Linked DNA regions of Caenorhabditis elegans. The protein of the gene in region 2 purifies or fractionates together with the protein of the main gene of each other region. This does not show direct contact. Each region holds a gene or a part of one and is shown on either strand. Other genes may lie near its edges.

What was found.
Region 1: the proteins of F46G10.1 (region 2) and ppat-1 fractionate together in Caenorhabditis elegans (co-fractionation; one large-scale study listed by BioGRID). This does not show direct contact.
Region 3: the proteins of F46G10.1 (region 2) and spp-14 fractionate together in Caenorhabditis elegans (co-fractionation; one large-scale study listed by BioGRID). This does not show direct contact.

The regions. Positions count from the first base shown.
Region 1 is NC_003281.10:4,687,738-4,694,790, reverse strand, and holds ppat-1 (Amidophosphoribosyltransferase), read right to left. Parts: upstream 5,512-7,053; 5' UTR 5,447-5,511; coding exon 5,358-5,446; intron 5,158-5,357; exon of another isoform or gene 5,020-5,157; intron 4,734-5,019; coding exon 4,328-4,733; intron 4,282-4,327; coding exon 4,021-4,281; intron 3,786-4,020; coding exon 3,476-3,785; intron 3,428-3,475; coding exon 3,312-3,427; intron 3,017-3,311; coding exon 2,852-3,016; intron 2,808-2,851; coding exon 2,712-2,807; 3' UTR 2,620-2,711; downstream 1-2,619. Other genes in the region: T04A8.8 (Rad60/SUMO-like domain-containing protein), read right to left, coding at 1-262, 309-478, 525-786; nifk-1 (RRM domain-containing protein), read left to right, coding at 1,502-1,705, 1,751-1,864, 1,913-2,428, 2,473-2,562; tag-243 (Costars domain-containing protein), read left to right, coding at 6,581-6,610.
Region 2 is NC_003284.9:13,306,863-13,315,422, forward strand, and holds F46G10.1 (BTB domain-containing protein), read right to left. Parts: upstream 4,894-8,560; 5' UTR 4,865-4,893; coding exon 4,793-4,864; intron 4,713-4,792; coding exon 4,654-4,712; intron 4,610-4,653; exon of another isoform or gene 4,603-4,609; coding exon 4,491-4,602; intron 4,269-4,490; coding exon 4,143-4,268; intron 3,606-4,142; coding exon 3,438-3,605; 3' UTR 3,365-3,437; downstream 1-3,364. Other genes in the region: srxa-8 (G_PROTEIN_RECEP_F1_2 domain-containing protein), read right to left, coding at 420-623, 681-841, 891-1,023, 1,382-1,659, 1,714-1,827, 1,875-1,983.
Region 3 is NC_003284.9:7,722,147-7,729,550, reverse strand, and holds spp-14 (Saposin B-type domain-containing protein), read right to left. Parts: upstream 3,573-7,404; 5' UTR 3,572-3,572; coding exon 3,416-3,571; intron 3,367-3,415; coding exon 3,211-3,366; 3' UTR 3,168-3,210; downstream 1-3,167. Other genes in the region: vit-1 (Vitellogenin-1), read right to left, coding at 1-395, 441-725, 778-1,650; K09F5.6 (Protein tincar), read right to left, coding at 4,942-5,304, 5,433-5,625, 5,680-5,879, 6,246-6,575, 6,641-6,874, 6,925-7,008, 7,056-7,404.

The DNA.
Region 1 (7,053 bases), on a different chromosome or scaffold from region 2:
CCTTGCTTGCTTCAATGAGTGGATGTGGTAGTGTCATCGGACGCCAACCCAAGCTTTGTGGTGTCGTGTATGTGTCAATTGTCTTGCCATTGTGACTGAAAACTACACAAGATACAGGGCATCCCCATTTCGTCGCATAAATTCTTCTAATTTCAGAGAACGTCGATTCGAGAAAGATGTCATGACGAGATTTCATATCATTTCCGTGACTTTCACAATCCAGAATAACCACTGTGACGGGAAAGTTTTCAGCAGCAATGCTCTAAAAAATAAGCAAAATTTAAGAAAAAAACAATTTTTCCTCTCACTGATTCATCCGCGTCTGAGTCGTCTTTCACATCTTCAACCTCCGGTTGTGCTCCTGATTTTGCAGCTTCGTCCCAACCTTCACAGATTTTCAACAGTCCACTAATAACATTGTTTTTCTCGACTGGTGCGTGAATAACGGTCTCTCGCTTGTAAATAGATCGACGATAAGCTAAAATATTTGTATGAGCTGTATAAAAAAGTATGATAACACTAACCTTCTTCTACATCATCAATTTCGTGTCTGACTTTTTGGGAGTATGTTTCTTTCTCTACTTCAACGCATTCATCATCATCCGAGTCGTCCGGAAAGAGTTGGGTTTCCCGCGTCTTTTTTCTCATTGGCGATGGACCGCTGGTATCGAAATCGTCGTCTGAGTCGTCGCTCTCACAAACTCGTACCGGTTGTCGCTTCTTTTGGAGAGCAGCTCTTCGATTTCCCAAATAATCGCTGTAGGCATTGTCGTCCGAATCACTCATTCCTAAAAATAAACTAAATTGGAAACGATTATTTATGCTAACATAGATCAAAACGATATCACGATTGAATCTGGAAATATTGAAAGGGAATCATTAATCACTACACAAAAATGAATGCATCTAAAAAACAGCAAAAAGGAGAATGACTTTTTCGGGAAAGACGTTAATGTTGTTTTGAAATGTAATTATTTAAGAAAGAACGCATCGAAACTCAATGATCGACGAGTCGAACAGAGAGGATAAATATAAACACTTTAAAAAACATTGAACAATTTTACGTCTCGGTACATAACTACCTCTGATATTAGGCAGTGAATAAAAGCGAAAAGTTAAGTAGGAACTGATTGGAGTTTTGAAAATAGAAAGTATGTATTTATTGTCTAAACCGTTTAGAATAATAATTGACCTTCGTGATAAGAATAAGAGATCAAAAATCGGTTGATTGGATGAAAAAGTTTAGAAATGCGACGAAACAACAAAAATGTTTGTGTGCGTGCGCTTCAGCACGAAACATGCGCCTTGCACGGAAACTGCGTCAACGAAGAAACGCGCCAGTAACACTGCTTTTGTCCCTCACAAAATTTTAAAGCTAATTTTTCTACCTTATTTCCTGATTTTTCATGTTTGAACAGCTGAAAACTCTTATAATTTGCAAAATATTGTTTTGAAAATTTTTATTGCACGAAATATACACATTTTTCAGATCTCAGACACAATGGTTGCCCAGAATCCAACTTCGATCAGTTCTGGAGGACGCAAGCAACCTCAGAAGCAAGACAAAGTCCAAAAAAAGCAGCTGAAGAAAATTTATGTTGTCAAGATTAAGCGTATTCCGTTTGGATTCTTCGAGAAGGAGTTGCTCGGGTATTTCCGTCAGTTCGGAAATGTGTTGAGAATTCGTGTGGCCAGAAACAGACGCGTAGGTTCAGCAACCTGTTAATATAGTATTAAATCATTATTTTAGACTGGTAATCATAAGGGATGGGCGTACGTTGGATTCGACAACAAGGCTGTTGCTGAAATCGCTGCCGAATCAATGAACGGTTACTTGATGTTCGAGCAACGTCTCGGGTGCACGGTAGGTCAACTTCTACCATTATATCCTTGAAAAACTTATTAAATTTAGGTGATGAAACCAGAACTTATCCCGAAGGCAATGCGCCATGGCCCACTGCTTGTGATGCGTCCATCTTACTTGGGCATCGCTAAAAAAGATACAATTGCCAGAAACAATACCACCGGAAAAAATGACGTCATCAATGCCAAGAAACGCGTGCAAAATCTCAACAAAACTTTGAAGAAGCTGCAGAATATGGGGATCAACTATGATTTCTCTGTGTCTGGAACACCAAGAACGCCACTTAAGAAGGTCATTGACAATGAGGTTCAATTTATCAGTGATGTCACCCCGAAAAGCACGACTCCGAAAATTGTGAAAGCTGCAACTCCAAAAGCAGCTACTCCAAAGGCCGTGACTCCAAAACAAGCAACTCCGAAAGTTTCCACTCCAGTCACCAAAAAGGTTGTCATCAAGACTCCTAAAACTGAAAAGCCGGAACCCAAACAGTTCACTCCAAAAACTCGCGCAGGAAAGAAGGCAGCTGCTGCTGCTACTCCACAGGCTAAATCTACGCTATCCAACGTACGAAAAACTTTAAATAAAATTTGGTTATATTAATTTTCCAGACAATCCTCAAATCCGTCGCTGCAAGTGCCCGTCCAGCTGCTGTCGAAAAGAAAACATTGAGATCTCGTGGAAAGAAGAAGAGCTTGTAAGCGTCCTGATTTCTGTTGTTAATCATTTTATTTTTTTTCCGCAAACTGTTGTTGTTCTTATTTTTATACACATTCATTGTTGATTTTTAATTGAATTGATTTTGTTTTTCATGAATACAAATAATCTATTCAAACTTTTCAAACACTAATTATAAATCGATAGCAACTGGATATTTTCCAGTGAGACATGCGGTGCAATGTCCTGGAGAGAAGTTGGCAGCTCGTTCGATTCCTTTTTGAACAGACTGAAAAAAAATTAAATTGAGGAGAAAGTGAGGTTCAAACTCACCGAAACTAAACCGTCAACCGAAAGATACCGTACTGAATCGGCTCCAACAAATTGGCAGATTTCTGGAATTGTTTTTTCGGCAGCAATCAATTCCTTTGTGGTTGGAATGTTGATTCCCATAAAACATGGGAATTTTACAGGCGGGGAAGCAATTCGTAGATGAACCTTTAAATTTAGAGGTATTATTTGAATAATGCGGTCTTGACACGATCGAAATTTCTAAGATACCGTACTCTACCGTATACTCCAGTTTCTCGTTTTTATGTATTCCGCTATTGTTTTCTTAATATTTGCTGAACATCTAGATGCACAGTTTTACAACAAATATATGTATTGGAAAAATCTGCAAAAACGGAGAATTACTCGCGTTATACGGTAGCTGAAAATTTTTGCTCGTGTCAAGACCTTTTTCACGGTTTATAAGGTGAAAAATCATTATTTTTAACAACAAGGGTAATACCTCTTTTGCTCCAGCATCTCTTAACATTTTTACCAAAGTTCTCATCGTATTTCCACGTACAATTGAATCATCTACTAACACAATCCTTTGTCCATGAATCTTTTTCTTCAATACTCCTGAAATAGAATTCATGAAGTCTTTCTAAATAGTTTTCTTTATTTTACCAAATTTCATTTTAATCGCATTTTGTCTCATCTCATCATTTGGTTCTATAAATGATCTTCCAACATATGAATTTCTGTGTAAAACAGGTTCATATGTGATTCCAGACTGAGAAGCGTATCCAATTGCTGCACTCAGCGAAGAATCTGGAACATTTCCAACAATATCTGCTTCTAGATCATCTTCAAGAGCCATCGTTTTTCCACATTCTTCACGAACAGTTTGTACTTGTTGTCCTTCAATTTCTGAATCATTTCGTGCAAAATAGACATATTCGAATATGCACATAGCCAGAGGAGTATTCGGTTTCATCTGAAATGACTCATATAATTCCAGGTTTCTGATTTTTCAGCATAGCCCATCTGTCTCGATTGTAATTTTGGAAAATACCAAAAATAACCAGAAAGTCTAAAAACTACATGTATTTGCAAAACTTTAAAAACACTTTTTTAAATTTTAATGTCTAACAAAATACATACATGAGAAAATGAGGTCAGAGAAGGCGGTAGGTAGGCGCGTAGGCAGGCCAAGATATATGTAAGTTTACCTGCCACACCGACTTGATTCCTCCTGTCGATAATTCCACAATTTCTCCTGGTCTCACTTCGAAATCTAATTTAGCATTTGCAGGAAATGCACAAGATTCAGAAGATGCAATGAATGCTTCTGGATTTCCATTTTTAGAATATACAGTACCAACACAAAGTGGACGATTTCCAAATGGATCACGAATTGCGTATAGTCTATCAAATGTCATTACTAGTAGAGAATATGACATGTTTAGTGCAGACATTGTTACTGCGAGCTCCTGAAGTTTTTTGGTTTAAGAATTTTCATGTTTTTCAAAAACTCACTCTTGTAATATCACCCATCTCTTGTCCATACTTGCATTTTACATTCAGAGCAATCGCTTTTGCAATCATTTGAGCAATAAGCTCTGAGTCAGTGTCAGTTGATAAACCAACACCTTCATGAAGTACTTCCTTTCTTTTTTGTTTCGCATCAACCAATTCTCCATTATGAGCAATTGCTACAGTACCCATTGCAGTATATACCACAAATGGTTGTACACAATTGATTCCAGACTTCTTCTTTCCTGCAGTTGAATACCTATTATGACCAATTATTATCGATTGCCCATTCATTCTTGAGATATTATCTTCAGTAATCACATCTCGGACAAGTCCATGACCTTTGATAATTTCCACGTGGTCTCGAGTGATTCCATCTGAACCAACGAGTCCTGTTGATTCAGTTCCTCTGCAAAATATACATGATAAGAATTGCAAATTTGCAACTAATTTGTTTTAGTATTTTATTTTTCTATCACGCACGGAAAACAATTTAGAAACTAGACAATATTTGCAAGAAATGCTAGACTTATTCATTTAGCTATTTCGATTTTTTGCAAACTCAAAATCACTGCACAATCTACTTGTTTGCAACAATGTCAACCACTGCAACGCTACAAGCACTTTATTGGTCGTGTGTCCGAGTGGTTAGCGCTGTTTGCTGTGACCCACGAGACGCCAGTTCAATCTCTACATACGCGTCATTTTCATCCAATTGGCAACGTGATTCTAATGTTGGCGATTCAGCGTATTTCTGACGCAAAATTGATAACTTCTCCATTGACGTCTAGTCAGACTAAACTGGCTCGGATACAATTAGGGAGTTTACACTTTTGCCTTCTTGTGGAACGATGGCTTAAGTTAAGCAGAAGCGGAATGAACGGGAAGAGAAAACGAGAGCTTTTTGAAAAATTAGATATTTAGGAATGAGGAGCTGAACAGTTAAAAATTCAAACTGAAACCAATGTAGGAGATGTATGAAATCAAACTTTTTGAGACAGAGCTTATTAAAAATTTAAACTTAAAACCCCACCTGTGTTGAAGAGCAGCCAATCCATTTGCAGCAAGAACATTCAAATGCTCATAATTTCCAGCGGCAACAATCCCAAATATACCACACATTGTTCGGTGTGATCGTCGTCAGAAATCAATTGCCTAATGTGCATGTTATTATCTTTTTCGATGCTCTGAATGTTTGATACGCCAATCATAAAACCTTTACACCCTCCACCTGCTATGTTTTTAAAGTTATTGCCTATTTTTCATGGAAAAGTTCACTTCTGTCGATAGAGCCAGGTTTTTGAACTTTTTCCGCTGATAAGAACAAGTGAATGTCTAATTGAAGTTTGATTTTAAAAGGAGTTTTTAGGTTTAATTGAAAATAAACACGTTGCTCGGGAATACGATAACTATAAGATGTGAATGAAATAAAACTTAACCTGGCGCGAGAGCTAAAATCTTCGGCTTTCAGAATCTGTAATTTACTTTCGCAGCAGATGCATGGAAATCTGGAGAGTTTAATTTTAAAATGTAATACTGAATCTAATGAAATTCCTGTTTGAAAAAGGTTTGTGAGTATGTTATCAAACTTTTGCAACTTTCTGACAACATTTTTCTGTAAAATTTTTTTTTTTCTGCCAACTTCAATTTATTTGAGCAGATTTTTTTAGAGTGTCATGTTGTGTCTAGAAAGTAGATATTGTTGTCACTTGGACTCCGTAGAGCCCGTCCGTCCCAACTTTGCGGATGTATGTGCTTGGTCAGGTTCACCCACGTCAACAGTTATCAACTGTCAATATGGACTTCGAAAATATTCTTTACATACTTTCCTGTTAATATCTGAATTGGTAAAATGGTTTTCGTTCTTTGAAATTCCAACACAATTCAAAAATCAAAATATCCCTCTGTTTGTTATTGAACATTGACCACCCAGTTGTATTTACAAGTTGACATTAGGTTTTTGAATTTCAAAAAATTTCCGAACAACTTCGCTTTTCTCCATTTTACTTGAGCTCCCTGTCAAAAATAGCCTTTCTGTATGTGTGTGCATTGTTTTATATTTGAACAGCGAAATTGCACGTGAGACGAAGAGACGCAGACAGCAAAGATTGTCGCGAAAATGAGCGCCCACTTACTTTTTGGCTAAACTTATCAAAATTGCTCAAAAAATAAGGAGACAGTCAAGGATATATCTTTTGAAAGTTAAGCACACATATCTGAAATTTGTTTTACTGAAAAAAGAAGTTGCTCAAGAAAATGCCAAGTCAATCAGTGGAAGAACAAAATGTAAGTTTAATCCATTTTTATATTCGTTTAGATTTTTGTAAATTAGAAAATATTAAAGGTACATAGGTGAACTTGAAAATTATTTTTGAAGAAAGTTTTGAACGTTTATAAAAGTGACTCACAAAACTATTAAGTAGTTTTGAGTATTTGCTCAATTTTGTGGTGACTTATATGTCACATATTTAATCAAGATTCAACCACTCATATTAATGGGAAAAGTATTCTAGTTTAGAAGTAGTTTTTAAATTTTTTTTTAAATTCTATGCTTCCTTGCCGCAAAAATCTTTGCTATGGGTTTCATCAATAGTGGTTTCTTAAATTTTTCCGACGCTTGATTTCCCATTTGTTAGGTCTATACATTTTTCTTGAATTTTATTATAATTTCTCTAGCTCTGCTTTAAAAAAAAAGTAGTCCAAATCAGGCGGACAAGTTCACCCGACAG
Region 2 (8,560 bases):
TGTTATTGTGCATCGAACGTACTTCATCGATGTACAATGTTCCCATGCTCTGCAAAGTTCCTCCTCAATTTCTTCTCCGTACTCATCTCTCGTGTCTCCCCGTCAGCATTGTCTCACATCTCTACTACCCTCTTCGCATATAGCAGGCAACTAGTTTGAATACTGACATGTGGTCCTATGGTGTAGTGGTTATCACGTCTGCTTTACACGCAGAAGATCGCCGGTTCGAACCCGGCTAGGACCTACGTTTTTTGAATACTTTGTTTGTATACATAGTTGGTTGAATAGAAAATTGAAAACAATTTATATGGATTTAAAAAAGTATATAGTTATTTTTAGAAAATTTTAGGAATTTTTCAATAGTGTTAATGTGAATAATAAATTTAAAAAAAATTGTTGGAATTAAGACATATTTCTGGTCAGCGACGTTGAGCAACTGTGAAGACTGTTGCATTTTGAGCCGTGCTGTCATTATTATTTTTCAGATTCAAAAACCGACGAATCATCCTTCGGGTACTTGGTGTTTCTAGATAGTAGATGAAAAAATTCATCATCGGAATCGACTCCAAGCGGAAGTAAAAGTATCCTTCTCTCACAACTTCAGGTAAACTAGCGAAAACAGTCTAAAAATAATGTACCGTTGCAGCATATTAAAACATATGTTAGACTAGACTTCTTACCGGAAAACATTTTGTGATAAACGCTCCAAGTTCATAAATAGACAAATAAACAGCAATTGCCACTGTTTGCCTCATCATGATCAGGTCTCTGCGAGCTTGAATTTTCGACAAGTTGCTCTGTTCTGCAGCCTTGACAGTTGGAACGGCGCTGATGTGATGATCTTAATTTAATTAGGTAGAAAATTTTTTTTAAACAAAACTTTCACTTACTTTTGGTAAAGAACTTTTTAAATTTTACGTATGTGTCATTCCGTGCGAAACGCAGATGCAAGATAATAGCCAAGTTGACAAACATACATGTAAATGGAAGTAGAATAGCATATTGGTTTTGGAAAACTGTGATCTGCAATCTTAGGAAGTTTCTCCTTTTTTCATGAGAACTGCTTTCTCTCAAAAGCAAACACTGGCGCTATTCATTGTTCTCTTCCCCCAAAAAGAGAAGCAAGTGTCTAATCGTTTCTCTTTTCGGAAGGAAAAGCTTTCCCATGGCCGAATGGTCTAGTGGTATGATTCTCGCTTTGGGTGCGAGAGGTCCCGGGTTCAATCCCCGGTTCGGCCCATTCTTTTGGCATATTCAAACGCGACACGCACTTGGCACGTTGAATTGAAATTTAATGTAACATTTTTTAAGGCAGTAAACATTTGATCTCCTTTGACGGAATTCGAACAAAAATGATTACAATGCTCAGATTTTGACTAACCGGATGTCGTTCTGGGTCACACGCAGATATAAATGACAAATGATTCAACATGAAAATAATACGACACGGTGTAAAGTATGGAATAAGTAATGATATGAGCACTACAATTGCAATAACGGCAGCATATCCGAAAAGTCGTCGTTGTGTGAACATCTCAGAGAATGGGTTGAGTATAATAGCCAATCGATTGACTGTCATTAGCACAGAAATGCAAAGAGAATGGAAATACGAAAATGTGGCTCCAAGACTAAATTGAGCACCAAATGCTGTCAGATAGTCTAGAAACGTCAAATGTTCGAATATGTTTTCAGAACTCTCCACAGGCAACTCACTTTCATATTCTTCCTCAGTAAGGAAGGCAAAAGCAGCTACATTAACATTAAGGAAAACTGTAATTAGAATTCCGGGAATGCTCATTAAAACAATATAGGCCAGTGGGAGTGCAGCTTAAAAATTAATTGAATGTAATTGACTCCTAAAATTCAAAAACTACCGTTCCGACGATTTATTATTGTTGCTGTGAGGAGCACAATGTTGTAAAGCATGCACATTGTTTGAAGTATTATCATAAAAATTAAAAACAGTTGATACTTCGGTGTCATTTTATCGAAAATTGTTGAACGCTTCAAATTCGATTAGGAGAGAATGTAGAGTCACAACTGCTGAAAAGGGATATAGACTGAAATGCGAGAAAAACGTGACAGAAATTGAATCATGCTGAATTGCGTGACAGTGATAAAAATGTGTTCGAAACTATTGGATTCTGAGAACAATTTCTCCTATTCGCAAAAGCGCCCACTAAATAAAGGGTTTTATGAGTTAGATATAATAGTGTGATTCGCAGAAAAAAAAATGTACAGGGAAGTAGAACGGAACCTCTGAAACTGAACTTGCGCACATTCTGAAAAATTTGGGTTTAGATCAAAATCGTATATTTTCGAAATTATCCGACTGGTTGATTATCAAAATAAATAAACTTCATCATGTAATTTGTCTCCAACGAAGCGTGTAAAAATATTACACGTACCATGCTGGTCAACATGGTGCTCAATGATCGTGCTTTGATATTAAACGTGGCAAAATGTTCCGGGTTCCGGGTCACATCTTGTAAATATTTCGTTGTAAATAGTTTTAACTGCAGTCGTAGAAACTTAAGTCTTAAAGAGTTTTATTGCAAAATATTTGCAAATGTTTATGTATTTTTAATAGTTTTCAAAAGTTTAAAAAAATCAAAAGAATTTTTAATAATAATAACGATTAATTCATGGCAAGATAACGTTTCATAGCGCATGTTCACATGGAGCTCGAATTTTTTAAGTATCTTTCAACAAACTTTCAAAAAAAGTTGTTTACCTATTGAGCACACTGAACAGAACATTGTTACTTTTTTAAGTCTGCACAAAACAAGTAAATAGATCTATTTTAACTGCAGGCAAAAAATAAACAGTACACGAAAACATCTGTATTAGTTTTCAGTTGCAACTGCAGCGACGCAGGCTTCAAGACACAAAAAATTGCTCAGAAACAATGCTAATTAAGAGCGCAAGACTAATTTATGCGAGGAAACTAACTTTCGAGAGAGATTCAGGACAACCAATAAAGTCCCCCCCCCCAATCAAAAATATTAAACGAAATATTTTTCTCCACATTGCTGATTTAGAGCAATTTTCCGAGTTGTATCTTTTATCAGTTTTGACTTGGTTTTCAGAAATCTGTAAAAGATTGAATATAATTTAGTTTTTGAAAATCGATATTTTCTATAGTTTTTTATGGCTAATGTAATTGAAGTTTAGTAAGACGTTTTGATTTTCGATAACTCGATTCTACCGATTTTTCTTAATTTAAAAGTGTTCAGAATTTTAAGCACATCTTTTTGGTTTCAAATGTTCTCACAAGGATCACTAAAAATAATTTGAATATGATTACTCCATCCCCCAAGTCAATTTTCAACGAACACCAAATTCAACAAGTTCGTTCAGAAGTACACACAATTTTGCACTTTATTTCCGTTATTTCATGGTCATTAACAAAGTTATTCAGAAAGAGGAAGTAAACTTCAAATGCGTCCTCCATTATTGTAGTACGTGTTGTTCGCAATTTGGTTCACCGAATTGCGAATATCCACAATATCATTGGTGTTGGCACGTTGTTCCTTTTCAATGTCAACAAGTGTCTCTTGAATTAGGTACTTGAATACCTCCATGCCAAAGAAGTCTGCTTCTCGCTGGAAAAAATAAGGGAAGTTTATATGTATTGTCAATTCATACATCATTGGAGTTATTTTCAAATTAAAAGTTGTGATTGTTTTCAATAAATTGATTTGGTGTTTCAAGATTCATTTAATATACACACTTATGTATGCTACACATTTTTTGCATAAATCTCATAGTTTCTATTTTTTATGATTGTTGACATAGTTGACATTAGTGTTAATCTTGTATTTGTTGGTTTTTTTTCCATATTGCACTTTGAATTAATTTTTGAATGATATTTCCTGGAAAAAACAATTTTTCAAAACATATTGTTTTTCCTTAACAATATCATAAAATAGTAACTGCACATGACTAAATTGTATAACTTAATTTTCTCTACCCATGCCAATTGATTAGGTATACCAATATTCGTGACACACAATCGCCAACACATAAATACCCATAAAACACAAGGCACACCTCGGTGTACCTCTAGTAAACAAGCAACTGTGCTTATCAATGACAACGCATGGTTAAGAAGGCGATGAAATTAAACATGAAACACCTACTTTGAGCTGTGCTAACACGTCTTTATCTTTTGGCAGGACAGTGTTCTTTCCGTCTCTCATAAATTGCAGAACGAATGCAAACAGACGCCCGTCCCGGTTCACGAAGATTGCTCCTGACTCATCACGCTGAAATTTGTATTGAAATTTTTTTAGAGAGAGCTATGAGGATTAAAAGCATTCTCTTGAAATTCAGAAAAATAATTCTGAAAAAAGCACAAGTAAAAATTGTTGGAAGTTTTTTCAGTAGGATTTAGGCTTTCAGCTAGCTTCTAGATAACCTAATAGTCTCCAATTAAAAAATTCTGCATCCTCATTAGTATGTATATTTATTTCTAGATTGTCACCCACAATAGTTCTCTGTTGAAGAAGCACAATTTTTCCACTGGTGCGGTCGATGCGGATAAAGTTGAGGAAATATGACGACTTTGACTGTGCCAAAGTGTCGTAAAGTGTAGTAAATCTGAAGCCTTCGTTAAATTCTCAGATCTCATGTTCTCAATTCCCAACTAACCTTGTGCCGCCTGCGTTAATATGCACTATGTCTCGAGCATGATGAGATGTGACTTCAGCCTAAACATAGTTTTATAATACTCCAATTTTCTCATTAGCTGTACAATTTATTAGAAAATTGAATCAATTTCAAGACCCACCTTTTTATAATCAGCATACTCAGCGGTATGCATATCCACACCATTTGAATGAAGAGAAGCTCTAGCTAGCATTATTAGTCAAACCTGCGTGTCCTGTGAAAAACGCGAGCAAGTGAAAATCGAGGTAATAAAACTCAATGGTCGGTTGTGTTATCAGTGACGTTAGGAAAATTTTTGAATTCACCTTGTGTCAATAAGAAGATACCATCCCATTTTCAGATTGGCAACACGTGTGATTCAACACTTTTGAAACATATAAAGGTACCTATTTTCGAAAAAAAAATCTTATTCGTGTTTAGAAAAAGTATATTGTTATCACTCAATAATAACCATTTATAATTGATCTAAAATTTAAATGAAAAAGTGAATAATATTAAAAGCGTGGCAAAATTTGAATAGTTTTTTTTGAAGCTCGCTCTGAAAAATGCCAAAAAAAACAGGCAAAGAAATATGATCAAGAGTGCCAATTTTACGAATTTGGACAAACCGTAAATATGTCAATGTAATTTTGAAACACGTGTTATTCAGGAAACCGCCAACCAATCACCGAAGTATGTCGTCTCCTTTACGTAACGCTGATTGGTCAGTGCCGTCGCATGATTTGCGTATAATTTCAAAATTTAATTGAAGTATTCATTCACCACTTGACTACTCTCAAAATAACACAACCTTTCATTTTTTGAATAGTAATTTTTGCACTTGTATGCTTATTCTAACTGGCGCCATTCTGTTTTTAAAGTTTTGTTTTTTTCACAGTTTTTGAACAAGCGGTAGGAAAAAAATCGACAGTTGCCGGTTTTCGTGCCAACAGCTCAGTCTGCTATGTATGTTCACTGAAAAAAAATTTATCCTGCAATTTCAGAACTACGAAAGTTGTTCAGGAGTAGCTTGCAGCTCAATGACGATAACAAGATGTTCCAGATCATAAAGTCAAATGAAAGTCAATTATAATTGATATTTCACTGGCAATTATTTTGTTTTTTTTTTGTTATTTTCTTCACAATATGTGCGGCTGCAGCACTATCAAATTATGTTTTATACCGCCGTAAAACTTTTCTGGCCGAAAATCTAATCTCGAAAATAATTTTTTATTTGCAAAAATGTCACTTGTTTAATCTCGCACGAGAAGTGCGAATAACTAATTTCACGTTTTCATGAGTTATTTTCTTGATTAAAACAAGGCTGCTAAATTGAAACAACAAAAATAAAAGTTACCGTACACCAAACGAAACAATATGAGATTTTGATTGGCATTTTCATGTTTTTCAAAAATAATATTTGATTTCGAAATTATGTTTAAAGGAGGACTAACGGTTCGGACGATTTTGAACGTATAAGCCAAAAATGGGCCCAAATGAACGAATTTCGTAATGAAACTGCTCAAACAATTTTCATAAATTTTTTATGGCGGTTCAAAATTTCGAAAAAATGACGCTGATTTTAGCTAAAATCTCTAATTTTGCCCATTTTTCCGTGTCACATCTGTCCGAAATTGCTTTTTTGGAATTATCACCCTTTATTGCATATATTGGTAGTTTATCTCATTTAATTTCCTTGATTAAGGTACATTTAAAGCCGATAGCTAACCAATTTTGATGATTTTTGCAATAAAGGATGATAAAAGCAATTTCGGACAGATGTGACACGGAAAAATGGGCAAAATTCGAGATTTTGGCTAAAATCAGTGTCATTTTTTCGAAATTTTGAACCGCCATAAAACATTTTTGAAAATTTTTTGAGCAATTTCATTACAAAATTCGTTCATTTGGGCCCATTTTGGGTCGATACGTTCAAAATCGTCCGAACCGTTAGTCCTCCTTTAACTGCCTGAACAATTTGTTAAAATTTTAGAGTGACATTTATATTTAAAAAAACAGAAGAAACTATAATTTTTGTTTATTATGAAAAACACTTTTTAGGATATGAGTGCGTTTTTTTTTTCTGAAAGAAGCCATTTCAAAAACCGAAACTAAAACGATAATTAACTTACTTCAGTGTCCATTCGCCTTTTACTTTTTGTTGCTGGAGTCCATTTAAACAAAGTTTGCACTACTTTTAAAAGATATTCACTCCATAAAAATTCGAAAAAAACTTTTAAAGTGTTTTTTTAAACAGAAATTATACCACCAACAAACGGATGAACCGGGAAGTGTAAAAGTTTCAAAAAAAAAATAATGCAATTTCTATCAGTTTAGTATGCGTTTTCATGTCAATCTAGGGTTATTCAGTTATTCATAAATCAATTTTAGATAACTAGGGGACCAAAATAAATTATAAAGATGAAAGATTGGGATAACGAAAAATTGACATAATTTGAGATGTTAGCAAAATTCAACTTTCATGGTGTCGATACTAAAAATGACAACATTTCAATTCTGCATCGGTGGAAATATTTTGCAAGTAGTAACATTGTTTTTTACAAACCTGCCTTATTAATGACATTTTTATTTTTTGCAATTACCATTGAGAATTGCACAGATAATTTTTTTCACTTCTCTCTTCAAGAGCTTTGCCTACTTTTCCTATAACTGCCTGGAACCCAAGCCACCATTATGCATTATCTGGGCGTATGCTTAATGAGATTTGCTTCCTGATTCTTTCAATTCCCCTCAATTCTTGCAATATGTTCCCGCACTCTCTTCTAAGTATCTTTCCGAAGGCACTGTAAACGCGCCACACGCAATTGTTTCTTCATAGTCATTTTATTTCATTGCATTGCTTCTTTCACTGTTTGTTGATTTATTGGTGTTGGATAGAATGGAAAGGAAACATTTTCTACTGAGAAACAATTATTTCCGAAATTTCCAGCAAGAAATTCAGATTTCAATAATTCTTGTTGAGAATTGTTCCTATCAGGCATATTTAAATGGATAAAAGTCATGTCAATTTTTTGGTGGACTTTGAATCGATTATTAAATCGTTAAAATATAAATGAGATTGTGTTTTTTTTTTGTTTTTTGGAAAAACAAACCAGGGGAAACATTCATGCTAGATGCCACACGTTTTATGTCACAACAACATTTTAATTTAAGGAATCCGAAAGCATGTTGAAAAATGACAAAAAATTTAGCAGAACATTTCAAACGTTTCTGAGTTTTCTACCAATTCTACCAATTTGAATTTGTATTAAAAATTGAAACTTTATCTAAAAATTATGATCACTTTGAGTAATATAAATGTGTAAAACGTCTTGTCACATTGAAATTCATATGGACAAAAGTTAGACAAAATTTTTTTGCCAACTGGGTCATTCATTTTTCACATGCTCGTGTCAGATGACACCGGAAGTTTCATTCAAATAAATTGCTAACAATTGGCATTCTGATAACAAACGCTGCAAGTACATTTCTGCTTAATTAGCCAAGCTAGTTAATTAAGTTTTGTTACTGTTATTATTGCTATTATAATAACAATTCCAATAAATCCATACATAGTGTTTTCAAAATTCCAATAAAACATATTCCCTAGTATGTTTTTTTTTTGTTTTTGGTTTTTGCCTGTCATAGAATCTGTTCAAACCGGCCTTCTATATCTCAAATCAACTGACAATTTGTCAAAAATAGTACCGTTTGCCAAATTGACATATGACATATGACTCATTCATTAACAAAAATGGGCGCATTCTTTAACGCATCTGTTTTTCATCTGTTTGCACCGAAACAAATCAAATGATTAAACCATCAACGCTGTCACATATCTTTGAAGAATGTGGTAGTGACGTTGACTATATCTTGTATTCTTTGTGTTTTGTGGTTGTATCATGTTTTT
Region 3 (7,404 bases), 5.6 Mb from region 2:
CCGATGCTCTTGAGTGCCAAAATCTTCTCGTAGGTGGTCTCAGCATCCTTGTATTGTTGCATGAATACGCGGAGGAACTTCTCCTTGAGCTCACGCTTGTCCTCGCGGACGAGTGGACGGATATTCTTGTAGTCAACAATTCCGCGGACAACTGATCCGGCGGCGAGCCAAGCAGATTGTCGGACAACCTGGTTGTTCTTGGAAACGCGAGACTCGGCGAACTTGATGAGTGCTTCAGCAATGGTTTGAGATGGGAATGGAGTCTCTTGGATGGACTTAAGAAGTTGAGCGGCCTCGAGTGGAACGATGTCCTCGTTCTCGATGTGAACAAGAATGTGTTGAATGGTGTTCTTGGTTCCAGCAATAGCGAGAGCGTGCTCCATCAAAGATTGGATCTGAATATTGCAAGGTAAATTATAAAATGAACTAAAAATGTATACCTTCTTGTCAGCCTTGACGTAAAGAGTCTCGTGGATCTCTTTAAGTTGGGAGGTGGAGGTGGTGCGGAAAATGCGGACAAGACGCGCAAGGAAGTGGGAGGTCTCTGGGATGTTGTTCTCGACTTCTTGTATTTGCTCAGTGATAGTCTTGATCAAGTGCATCTTCTTGTCAAGTGGGAACTTCTCGAATGGGGCGAACTCAGCCTTATCTCCATTCTTGAAGAAGTCTTCAACGAGTTGCTCCCAACGGGAAGAGTAGATGATGCTTTCCTTCTCTCCATTGACCTGAAAGAATATTTGTCTTAGAACATACTGTAAAAGTTATGGATTAACGTACCTTCTCTATGTGACTTTTGATGGAGTGGTTCTCCTCAAGAACAAGCTTTGAGCGGGTTTCAGTCTTCATGACTTCTTGTCCGTTAACGTTGACAGTGTAAAGGGAGCGGACCTCGGATTCTTTAAGCTCTTCGTTTTCCAAAATGTAGGTGTAGACAGTTTGTGGGCGGATGAGCACGGTGTCCTTCTCGCATTCTGGGCACTCGGAAGAGTAACGAAGTCCGTAAGCGATCTCGGAACGTTCGGTGCACTTGTCAAAGTTGATGGACTTGGTGATGATGGTCTTCTTCTGCTCACGGATGACAGTGTAGGCGACTTGGCAGTCTCCTTCAAGGGTCTTCTCGTTGGTGAAGAAAGAAGTGTTTTCCTCAGATTGTTCCTCCTTGTCATAAGAAGATTCGATTTTCTCAATCTCGTTTCTTGGAGCAATTGGGTTGAATGAGATCATGTTGACAACAGCTCTCTTCATGTTCTTTGACCATTCAGCATCTTCCTTGTCGAATTGGAGCTCGGCGATGAGTCCATTTCTGAGTTGAGCACGGAGTGGGAGTTTGAGCATTTGCTTGTACTCCTCGGAGAGTTCGCGCTGCTCCATGGAGTTCAAGGATGGAATCTGCTCGGACTCTGGGAGGTGGGAAGCGGCCATGTGAATATTCACAAGTTGAAGGTGAATGTGACGGTCATCGACAGCTTGAATACGGACACGAGCAGAAAAACGAGATTGGGAGAGCTCAGAGGAAGCAGTTGGAAGGCCGGAAAGAACAAGTCCGTCGAACTTGTAATGATAGTCGATTTTCGGCTCAAATGTGCGCTCGAAAGCTGGGGAGAAAGCAATGGCCAAAGCCACTATAGATGCGATAATAATCGACCTCATGATTGGACAATGAATTTCCTCTTCACAGGTAACCTTATATACAACCTTCGATTGGCATTTTCTGAATTGAAATGAAGGGTTTGCAACATTTAGCGCACTGATAAGGCTTTAATTTGGCACATTGACAGTTGCTCAATAATTTTTCACTTTATTATCGCTGAATCTCAGAAATAGCTTCTATCAAATGTGAATTTTTTGTATTTCTACGTGTTTCATCAAACTTTGATTGACCATGCACAAATTGTCTTTATGCAATTGATAGTAGTGTTATGACAAGTGTTATGACAATTGCGGAGAAATTTTGTTTTGTGGAGGACAAGTATTTCAAGTGTAATGCTAACAACTAATAGCCAATTTTTTCAAAGTACTTTTTTAAAAACTTTTTTGTAGTGATGAAGTTGAAAACTTTGAAGTTTCAGCCATTTAATTTATTTCAAGGTTATATATTTAAGTCGCAAAATTGTTTTACAAGACGGTTGCTATTTATAATTGTTGATTCAATTTTTCAGTCGAGCATAAAGGCTAGTGCACTTTGTTTTAACATATCAAAGAATTGTATATTTCAGGTGACAATTTTATCTCTCAAATGACATGCAGGAAACAGCAAGTTTTACATTCGAATATCCACAAGAGTACCTTATGTGATAAAGTTTTGTTTTTTTGTTGTTGTATTTCTTTCTCTAAGTTATTCACTAAATGTGAAGTGCAACGAGAACAATTTGAGGTTTGTAAACAAAAAAAAAACAAAAAAAAAACCGAAATTGTAAACATAGTTTTTTAAACAGAAACGGTTACTAGAGATTTTGTGGAATATAATAACTGTATTTTTTTTATAGTTGGTGTGACATGTGTGACTTTAGCCATTAACAGATCTTATTTCCTTAATTGTGTTTTTTCATAGAACACATTACAAAATGACTGAATATGTGAAAACGAAGTGTCACATCATTTACCAAACCAAAAATCAAGAATGATTTTGGAATAGGTATTCAAGCCTGCTTACCAACAGGACAACCTCTGCCTGTTTCAAAAGATAAATGCATTCACTGACAAAGTTTTGTCGAGATTTATTAAAATCGTTTGATTCAAATTTTCAACCAAAGAACGTGAAAAAATTCAAACGTTTACTGAAAAAAAACATTGATCATCGGAGTTTACTTCATCTTTCAGATTTAAATGTTTAGGTAAAATTTTATTTTAAACGCGGTTTATTAATTTTTGACATATGTAGGCTTGAATTGTTACAATTCAAGCTACACTTGCGTAGAAAATAACCTGATAACCTTATACGAAAAAAGTTTATTTCAGCTTTCAATTTGGAGCTAACAAGAAGTTGTCACGTTAGAGCCGAATCGACACTTTTTGGTAGTCAACGTCTATAGCTTTGATTGCCACTGTAGTTAACTTTGCTCTTCCTCTCACGAAAAGTCAGTTTTGTTCAGAGTTAGTGAGATTTATCAGTTTCAGGCGCGCTGATATTTGACAATTTGAAGTTCATATCTGAATAAACAATTTCAAAGGTCATTCACACTTTATCAGAAGAAAAAGAAACATAAAGAATTAGCACTCCTTGAGCTTTTTGCAGACATCTTCTGGAGCAGTTCCTCCCTCGAGCTCGTTGATGATGGGGTCAAGCTTGGAGTTTCCGTACTTCTCACATTCCTTCTCGGCAAATGGAATGATTCCAAGTTCCTTCTTGCATTCGGCGTCAAATTTCTAAAATCATATTCACTATAATGACCAAACGAACAGTTTGACTACTTACGTCCTCAACGGTGTGAGCTTCTCTGTCAGCTGGGTTTTCAGCAGCACGGACTCCGACCTCGCACATGAGGCAGCTCATGGCATTGTCCTGTTGGCTTGGGAGAGCCAAAGCGGTAGCGACGGCGACAAGGGCCAGAAGGCAGAAGGTGGTCTTCATTCTAAAAAGAAAATAATATAAAAACGACATTCTAACCTTATCAAGAAATCAGCAGTCTGCAAGTTTGTCATGAATGAAATGAATGAAAATTCCGAAAGATAAGGGAAGAGTTAAAGTGCTGTTATCATAACGATTGTCTCGTTCATTTTATACAGACTTTCAACAAGGAAATTTTAAGTGCTCAGCCCGACGAAAACTTGAATCGCATGACACTGTCCCGCCCACTTTTATAACCCACTGATAACCCGATAATCCGGAATCTTTGAGTTCTTTACTCTGTCTGATTATAAAACTCTATTTGAGATAAAACTGTTTACATCATATTTCAATAACATATTCTTATATTCCTTGATACTTTTAAATTTGTTTGCTCTTTATTAGTGATTTTTTTTTTTTGAAATTTGATTTCAATAAAATCTGAGAAAGAAAATATTGAAACAAAGAATGTGGTCAAATGGGGTTGACAAACAATAAAACGAATTATGACAAAATGTTCAGAGAAATTGTGGAAATTCAAAGAAATGTACCCGATATCCAACGGGAATATAGTACAGTAACAAAGGAAACGATTTTTGATGATTTTTGGTGTGGGGTGACATGAAAAAAGGGAGGAGGAGTAGAAAAACGTAAGAAGAAATTATCAGTTATACATAAAAATGCGGGAGGCAATTATTACGCGCTTACTTACAAGGGTCGAAAATCAAAGAAAGTGGCGAGGAAATTGTTCCATAAACAGTAGAATTCAGTCCGTTTTCAGCAATTTGCAAATCAAGACCGAAATTATAGAGAAAAATAAAAAATGAATTTCAACAATTATAGTGGGATGATGTGTTTGTTTGGCGGTTAACTGTTTAAGTGTTTGGCGAGAAGAAGTGCATTGTCACGGAGTTGATTTGGTTCATGTGTTAATTGGGGGAATAGTTCATCGGGATCAGTAGGGTTCCTGTAAAATGTATCTTTGTCAAAAGTTAAGAATGCAAACTCTGTGAACAGTGAAACTTATCAATTTCATCCTAAAATTATATGGGCTTTGAAACCGTTTTCTGAACTAATTTTATTAGGCTTACATGATCAGGTTACATGATATACAATTTCGGTTTAATCGTGTTCCTTATTTCTATTTAAAGGGTAATGCAATACTAATAGAGGAAATACGGTGAATCATAACATTTTTGTAAATTAATAGTAAAATATCTCGGTTTTTTTTTCATAATTCGATGCAGATAGTTATGATATCGCTTTCAATTGTTTCAATTTTTTTGATGATTTCTATATTTCAGAGTTGCAATCATTCCGTTTGAAAATTTTGAATTTGTAAACATTTCTAGTTACTTTTGAATTAAGACCTACCAAAAATGTAAAACAAATATTCACACAATGCTGGTAGCAAAGTCATTTTGGTTAAGTGCTCCAGTGGGTGGACGAGAAAAGCTTGATACAGTGTCATCTGTTCCGTTCACGGAACGAAGTATTGTATTTCCAGTCGTCACTGTTGTAGATTTGATCGGTGCTTTTTGAAGTGTCCTGTCAGCATATTGACTTTCTTTGGAAGCAACTCCGTAAAGATTTGACGATGTGGAAGATGCTCCATTGATTCGGGAATAGATCGGATTGGATCCTTGTGGAGATCCAGGTGTTGGAGTGTAGTTACTTCCGTGACTTGTTAGTGTTGAAGTCGGGGTAAAGCATTGCTCATCGTTTTGAGATGAATTTGTTGTGCTGGTTAGCGATGACTGCAATGGATGTGGATGTTAGAATGAGATGTGTGCCGAAAATGTGAATGAATAAATAACTCATCGTGCAAAAAATTGAAATAATGAGAGAAAAGCTCGAATACAACAACTCAAATAGATAAAATAACCTTATTGTGTCCGTTTGTAGCTCCTGGAGGGTTCCATAGCAATTGACCTGGTTGCCCAGGTGCCGCTCGTTGAGCACCTCCCCATTGAACATTATTTCCTGATCCAATACCACTTGTTCCATATATTCCACTACCCTTGTTCTCGGAGAACGAAGAAAGTTTGATCGCAGACCGTTGATAAGGAGACTGTTCCCTGAATTTTTCAAAAATTATATCGAAATGTTGAACATAAAGTTTGCCAAGATACCTGCTGACAAGAGGTTGTGGCGGAGGCACGTTTATCCCAGAGCGGTCTGATAAAAGTGGAGACTGGCGGATTGAGCTTAATGATGGTTGTTGAGAATGTTGTGTAGGTGTGACTTCACGTCTCTGAAGTGTGTTTTGTTGTAGCCCTCCGTAACCGTTTACACGAATTTGACTTCCTTGTGGGGTTACTTGGATTCGAGACTGGAATTCAGAATATTCTATTTTTACAGAAATTTGTATCTTATATTTAGTAGCTGTACCCTAAAATGTTCGCTTCGTATGAAGTTCAGTAATGGTCAACAGGCAAATGAATGATACAATTGTTTTTTAGGCTTCAGGCTTATGTTTAGGGTCACGTTATATTTTGTGAGATACTTACAAACTTTTTGAGGTACAGTTATTACGCATGTACCGTGATATCATCAGTTTTTGTTATTATGAAACATCGACTCAATGTAATGTTTGACTATTAAGTCGATCATCAGCCAATGTTTTTGCTAACTTAAATCATACGATTGCAAAAGTGCACCACATATTTCACAACAACTCCTGTTTTATTCTACCCACCACATTTGGAATTCTTGCGTAACTTCCGTATGTGCTATCAACTCTTCCGTATGCGGCCTCTCCACTATCTCGCCGTTGGCCCAGCATGTGTTGCTGCTGCTCGTCTTTTTTTTGAATCGCCGAGTACTGATTCCAGACGTTGTCGTGAATCATGGCGCCACGCTGAAGAGTTCCGCCACTTTGCCCGCGTTGTAGTGTGCCCATTTGGCTGTATTGCTGTTGGTTGCGTTGTATGGTTCCAAACTGGCTAGGACCTGGTGGTGAGCTGTTTCCACGTTGCAAAATTTGGGAGTTGGTCATTTGAGCTTGAGTTATGTTACGACCACCATTCTGAAACAAATAATGTTGGGAAATGTTAGGTTACGAAATTGGATAGTTGTGAAACAAAGACTCACTGAGTGATAACTCATCGTTTGTTGCGTGTCATCTGTGCCCATTCTCAACAATCTAGACATTTCAGGACTATTCTTAACGCCGTCAACTTCGGTGAGAATTTTCGCCCGAGTTGCAGGACTTTGTTGACCTTGCCTCCAGTACACATCATCGGGTGGACTTATCATTTCAAACTTTCCACTGTGAATTGCTCGAAGAAGCGATTGTTTTGCTGTTTGGTCATCGGTCACAAACATCTTTAAAAAAATAATGCTTGTTTCACTTTTAAGAACTAATATGTACTTACAGTATCACGATGAACAACAAGAATAGAGTTTTTCAGTTGAGATGGATTTTCATTTCCACGAATTGGTCCAATTGCCATTCCTTTCTGAAAATAATTCTGCTTGACACTATCAATTTATTGTTCAAACTTACATTCAATCCATAGAACTGATGAACTTTATGCGTAACATTAAAATCCCAATCTCTTTTTAAGGTCATTCCAAGCCACATCAGAATCCATGAAAACATGTAGACGACGTCAATTATGATGCAAGTCAGTATTAATGCTTTTTGTTCATGCTGATAAAGAATCAACAGAGCGTAGATGGTAGGACCAATCGCTCCAGCAACAATGACTAAAAGTGCAATGGCATCCATATGTGGCAAATAACCATCACAGCACAACTTGTTTCCATCGACTCTTGTGTAGGAGCGTCGTCGATAATCACCATATTCAGCCTGGCCTTGGGATGTTCTGGCGGCGTTTCTATGTTGTACATTA